2 linked regions of the Saccharomyces cerevisiae S288C genome follow. The protein of the gene in region 1 interacts with the protein of each later gene in a biochemical or structural test. Each region holds a gene or a part of one and is shown on either strand. Other genes may lie near its edges.

Region 1 (3,758 bases):
CGTATATGTCGGGCTTGCTTGCGAAAGCAAGGGGTTCAATAAACAGAAAACAGAGTTTTTGGATAAAGTTTAAACAACGGAAACAGAGCAACAATGAAGGAGAGAATAAGTATCAATTGTGTAATTCTGTATACCGTAGTGCACAGTACGCTGTGCGCAACTCTTGCCTAAAAAATCTAGTTATCAAGCGGGGTGAATATGCTACAATGCCTCTTTTACGTTGTACTCTATCAAGGGATGATAGCAGTGGCACATATTGATTGATACGACTTTTCGCCGCGCGGTAGGCGAAAAGCAAAGAAAACTACAGTAATATCCAGAAATAGATGCATTTTATGTGCGAAATAAAACTCATGCTGAAAAAAATAGTAATAATTAATAGGGTAACGAATAGAATGCAAACCTTATCACGTGAAAGAGAGAACAATCATAAATGATTTAGTGCGTAGGTCCAGATTTGCGAAACACTGCGGAAGGCGAGAAAAGAATTCGAATATGAAGTAGGTAGAAGCAGAGGTAGGGCCGCTATTTAAAGATATACTTTTTCTGTACGGGCCGGTGACTTCGCAGTAGTGATGTACTATGAGATCACTATTTTGCCGGAAACTGTAGGCAAAAACCGTTTATGTCTTTTTTTCACCTTACGGGATAACCTCTGCTGAGAATTTCCAAAACTAGGCATGGATGATTGCCGGAATTTGAAACCCGGGCCCCGGAGGTTGATCGCACGGCAAATACATAAGAACCTTCTCCGCAATACGGGCTTTCCTCAATTTTCTTGGCCAAAAAGCGAGTCGGCCCCGAGCTACAAATCGGGAACAACGGAGGAATAGAGCGACAAGTTGATTCGGTCGTGCAGCCCGGAAAAAAAAGGCTGTCCTGCGGGCTTTATTCACTCCAATGCCGCTGAGAGGAACACGCGTTTCGTGGGCTTTGGACCACTACCCCGGCGTTCAGAGAAACCCCCCGGGGCAGGGGTCCGAAGTCTAAAAGTTTAATCCGGAAGTAGCGACGGGGGGGAAGCCCGCCGCGCACAGATGGCCAGCACAACGGAGCGGGGCCGAGGCGGCAAACGAGGTTAAGCCCGCTGAACCTGAAAAAAAAAACGAAAATTTTCTTTCATCAAGGACTAAAGTTTTCTTATGTTACGGATCTTGCACGCGGTAAGCAATGGCCGTAGCCTTTTCACAGTTGCTTCCAAGTGTCATGTATCGATTTTGCAGATTGTTCTAAAAGTAAATGGATTGCTATTTTCTTTCCGAGACTACTCTAAAAAAATTTATTGAGTATGAGATCGTTTTTAGATAAATTATATATATTGTAAAGCTATTAACTAATCTCCTATATCAATTTCTTCTTGCTTAACCCCGTGTGGTTGTTTAGGTCCATCTCCTTTTTCCTTTTAATTTTTTTACCTTTATTAATTCCTTCACCTCTCTAAACCCCAGTTTTATATCGTATATGCTATCTACAGGTCCACTTTACACTTAATAATATAAAAATACTACTATAAAGGAACCAGAAAAATAAAAAAGGGTCATTATTTATTTGAGCAGATCATTATCAAACGCATAGGAAGAGAAAAAACACAGTTTTATTTTTTTTCCACACATATTTATTGGTCTCCTAGTACATCAAAGAGCATTTTAATGGGTTGCTGATTTGTTTTACCTACATTTTCTAGTACAAAAAAAAAACAAAAAAAGAATCATGACCGCAAAGACTTTTCTACTACAGGCCTCCGCTAGTCGCCCTCGTAGTAACCATTTTAAAAATGAGCATAATAATATTCCATTGGCGCCTGTACCGATCGCCCCAAATACCAACCATCATAACAATAGTTCGCTGGAATTCGAAAACGATGGCAGTAAAAAGAAGAAGAAGTCTAGCTTGGTGGTTAGAACTTCAAAACATTGGGTTTTGCCCCCAAGACCAAGACCTGGTAGAAGATCATCTTCTCACAACACTCTACCTGCCAACAACACCAATAATATTTTAAATGTTGGCCCTAACAGCAGGAACAGTAGTAATAATAATAATAATAATAACATCATTTCGAATAGGAAACAAGCTTCCAAAGAAAAGAGGAAAATACCAAGACATATCCAGACAATCGATGAAAAGCTAATAAACGACTCGAATTACCTCGCATTTTTGAAGTTCGATGACTTGGAAAATGAAAAGTTTCATTCTTCTGCCTCCTCCATTTCATCTCCATCTTATTCATCTCCATCTTTTTCAAGTTATAGAAATAGAAAAAAATCAGAATTCATGGACGATGAAAGCTGCACCGATGTGGAAACCATTGCTGCTCACAACAGTCTGCTAACAAAAAACCATCATATAGATTCTTCTTCAAATGTTCACGCACCACCCACGAAAAAATCAAAGTTGAACGACTTTGATTTATTGTCCTTATCTTCCACATCTTCATCGGCCACTCCGGTCCCACAGTTGACAAAAGATTTGAACATGAACCTAAATTTTCATAAGATCCCTCATAAGGCTTCATTCCCTGATTCTCCAGCAGATTTCTCTCCAGCAGATTCAGTCTCGTTGATTAGAAACCACTCCTTGCCTACTAATTTGCAAGTTAAGGACAAAATTGAGGATTTGAACGAGATTAAATTCTTTAACGATTTCGAGAAACTTGAGTTTTTCAATAAGTATGCCAAAGTCAACACGAATAACGACGTTAACGAAAATAATGATCTCTGGAATTCTTACTTACAGTCTATGGACGATACAACAGGTAAGAACAGTGGCAATTACCAACAAGTGGACAATGACGATAATATGTCTTTATTGAATCTGCCAATTTTGGAGGAAACCGTATCTTCAGGGCAAGATGATAAGGTTGAGCCAGATGAAGAAGACATTTGGAATTATTTACCAAGTTCAAGTTCACAACAAGAAGATTCATCACGTGCTTTGAAAAAAAATACTAATTCTGAGAAGGCGAACATCCAAGCAAAGAACGATGAAACCTATCTGTTTCTTCAGGATCAGGATGAAAGCGCTGATTCGCATCACCATGACGAGTTAGGTTCAGAAATCACTTTGGCTGACAATAAGTTTTCTTATTTGCCCCCAACTCTAGAAGAGTTGATGGAAGAGCAGGACTGTAACAATGGCAGATCTTTTAAAAATTTCATGTTTTCCAACGATACCGGTATTGACGGTAGTGCCGGTACTGATGACGACTACACCAAAGTTCTGAAATCCAAAAAAATTTCTACGTCGAAGTCGAACGCTAACCTTTATGACTTAAACGATAACAACAATGATGCAACTGCCACCAATGAACTTGATCAAAGCAGTTTCATCGACGACCTTGACGAAGATGTCGATTTTTTAAAGGTACAAGTATTTTGAAATAGGCATGTTGCAATAAAACGAAAACAACTAAAAATCACGAAAACAAAATGATATTATACAATAAAAAATTCTTATTATGGGTAATGATAGTATTCTTCGCCTGCTTAGGCGTCCTTTTCCTTCAACAACAAAAATTCCAAAAAAAAAAAGTAAAAAAACAAAACTTTGATTGTTTTTTAATGATGTTAATGATTTTTTTTTTCTTTCTTTATCATAAAAAAAAAGTTAAAATGAAAAACAAATATGGGTCTGGAAGGCCATTATTTTTTTTTTATTTATATACCGTTTCTGGTACTTAGTTATTTATTCTCATACATACACTATATTCAAATTACCTAAGAGCATTTTCACATATCCGTTTACTTTCATTTTTTTTTTTT
Region 2 (3,228 bases), on another chromosome or scaffold:
GCATAAAGGATTGCTGATCAAGCATGTCATTGAGTGACATACTATGGGATTGAGGGGACAAAACATTCGCGGTCACGGATGAATTGCCCTGGTTATTGCCAGAATTGCTGCCCGGATTGTTCTTGTTTATGGCAGAAGATTGTGGTGATAGCAAAACGGCGCCTGGATGAGCTCCTCTAGACATGTTATATGGTGACTTGGAACCTGTGGGGAATTCCTCATACGGATGTTTCATGATTTCTTTGCTGACAATTACTTTATATGAACAGTTTTTCTCTTCTGAAAACAATATCTATAGTATATACAGTGATCTAGATTGCCCAAGGGACGAAGTACCAGTGTGACTGCAAAACACAATGTATTCGAGACAATCCTATGGTAGTAGTAGTAGTCGTTGTTAGATATCTCATCGCCAATTTGCTACCAAACTTATTCTGGAAAAAAATAATGAAAAAAATTTGCGTTTTTTCTTTTTCCAACAGATAATTTGCTGTGGTGCACGGTCAAATGGCAGCTGTATAACCATTAACTCTCTCATTGTGGAAGAGGTCTTCTAGGCACAACATCGATGAGAAAGTCAAACATGTCACTCTTTTGCAGGGCCTCTGCGATATCTGCCTTCTGCAAAGTTCGTCTTTTATTCCTTTCTGCCACGCACCAAGCTCTCATAGTCAGTTCTGTAATAAAGATCTCACAGGCTTTGGCGAAAATGATGGGGGCCTCTGCACTAATCATCTTGACATCTTCATCCGTCTTCATGACCTTGCGGATTCTCGCAAATGGTAAGGAATGTGATTTGAAGTCATCTTGATGCTCGGAACCAGGTTCATTCGTAGACTCGATCTCGTTGATTAATTCTTGCCAATAACGGATCATTATCTCCTTGTAGTGGCCCACCAATCCCTGACCAACGTTCCTAAACACATCATACTCTTCATCGTCCTCGTCCATTTCTCCGTCTGCGCCGTCGCTGTTTCCATTATCTTCGCCTTCAAGCGATCCTCGACCACTTGGCGGTAGATTAGCTTGGTCATGGCCCGCCTGGATAGCTTGCAACTCCTGTACCATCCGGAACTCTTCCTCAGAAACAGGTAGCCTCGTATTTTCCCCTTCCCCTTCGTTTTCTTGCAGTTGTTGCTGTTCTGAATATTGCCTTGGCATATTCATTTCCTCTCTCTGAATCATCGTACTGGGTTGCGGTCCCTCCGGGAGCGATTCTTGAGGTCCTTGTCCTTGTTGTGGTGAGAAATTCCTATCAGTCATTATGCGAGTAAACAATCCTGATGCTGCAAATGCGTCACAACTCTTACATTATCTCCTATTCCCCTCTATTCTTCTTCTTTGCTTACGCGGTATTATAGCAGCTAAGGAAGCTTAATCTCCGGAAGCAATCTTAAGGGAGCCGTCCCACGCAAATTTAAGTTTAACTACGGAAAAGGGAGCACAACACTCTTCGATTTTGACATTTCGGGATTTCTACACTCTAGTAAGTATTGCGCTAGGAGGGACCATGATTTACTATGAGGACTTGGCTATGGGGTGCTCAGAATTGCATAAGTGAACTCGAGGATAGCTTTGGGCACTATCACGTACTAAGTGATATGTATTGATATGTAAACCTGCAATGAATGAATGGATTAAAACGGATCTTAATACTGCATAAAAGAGGACGGCAAGAACAGCTGAGAAGCGGTACGCATCTACACAAAGTATGCCAAGAGAATTCAAATCCTTTGGGTCTACAGAAAAGTCTTTGCTGTCAAAAGGACATGGAGAGCCTAGTTACAGCGAAATATACGCTGAGCCTGAGAACTTTTTAGAGATTGAGGTGCACAACCCTAAAACTCATATACCAAATGGGATGGATTCGAAGGGGATGTTTACAGATTACGAAATAATATGCCGTACAAACTTGCCAAGTTTTCACAAGAGGGTATCGAAAGTAAGGAGACGATACTCAGACTTTGAATTCTTCCGCAAATGCTTGATCAAGGAAATTTCTATGCTTAATCACCCAAAAGTCATGGTACCTCATTTACCGGGTAAAATTCTCTTGAGTAATAGATTTAGTAACGAAGTCATTGAAGAGAGGAGACAAGGTTTGAATACCTGGATGCAATCGGTAGCCGGGCACCCGCTTTTACAATCTGGTTCTAAAGTTCTCGTGAGGTTCATTGAAGCTGAAAAGTTTGTCGGCTGAAAAGAACTCTTTTACGTGAATAAATAATATAGATTATATAAAAGAATGAATAGAAAAATTTAAATAAATAATGAATAAAATAATTAAATAAATAATGAATCCTGTGATTAAGTTAGCGTGTACTTTGGTCCATCTCCACCTTCGGGTACTTTCCAAGTAATATCTTGTCTGGGCGCCTTAATATCACAGGTCTTGCAATGGATACAATTTTGTGAATTGATTTGCAGTCTCGTACCCACAGGCGATTTTTCATCTTTGACGAATTCGTAGACACCTGCTGGGCAGAACCTCGATTCAACACCTTTCCAAACGGGAAAGCTTCTCTCGGCGTACTTTACCATATCTTGTCCAGGAACCCTCAAGTGACATGGTTCATCATCATCATGGTAGGTTCCGGTTCTAGACACGGAGGTCAATATATCAAAGGATATCACACCATCAGGCTTGGGGTATTCTATCGGTTTGTACTTGGAAGCAGGTTCCAAAATTTCACCGTCATTTTTTTCATCAAATTTCAGTGTCCACGGAACTTTTCCCTTCAATATCAAAGAATCGATTCCAGAGTAGATCATACCACCATATCCACCAAGTTTCCCGCTGAAGGACGGTCTAATATTACGCACTTCGTATAGTTCCTTATATATCGATGATTCTTTGAATGCACTTTCATATGATTCCAAGTTAATAGTTGCCTCCTTATCAAACATAGCCATTTTGGCGTCTTCGTCTTCAACCTCTTCTAAGACAGGTAACCCTTTTATGGACTCAAAGATACTTTCAGCGGCAAGTAATCCACTCTTCATCGCAGTATGAGTACCCTTGATCTTTGGAACGTTCATGAAACCCGCGCTAGCCCCTACCAAAACACCACCAGGGAAATTCAACTTGGGTACAGATTGCAGTCCACCTTCATTCAATGCTCTTGCAGCATAAGCGATACACTTACCTCCTTCTAAAACTTTTGAATAGTATGGATGATGTTTCATCTTTTGAAACTCTTTGTAAGGTGAAACATAGGGATTCTTATA

Evidence for each region.
Region 2: the proteins of HAP4 (region 1) and HAP5 form a complex in vitro, tested with the Saccharomyces cerevisiae proteins (2 studies listed by BioGRID).

What each region holds. Positions count from the first base shown.
Region 1 is NC_001143.9:230,517-234,274, forward strand, and holds HAP4 (transcription factor HAP4), read left to right. Parts: upstream 1-1,710; coding exon 1,711-3,375; downstream 3,376-3,758.
Region 2 is NC_001147.6:1,008,196-1,011,423, reverse strand, and holds HAP5 (Hap5p), read right to left. Parts: upstream 1,264-3,228; coding exon 535-1,263; downstream 1-534. Other genes in the region: VTS1 (Vts1p), read right to left, coding at 1-235; SNX3 (Snx3p), read left to right, coding at 1,712-2,200; CIR2 (electron-transferring-flavoprotein dehydrogenase), read right to left, coding at 2,308-3,228. UniProt on the Saccharomyces cerevisiae protein: Acts a component of the CCAT-binding factor, which is a transcriptional activator and binds to the upstream activation site (UAS2) of the CYC1 gene and other genes involved in mitochondrial electron transport and activates their expression.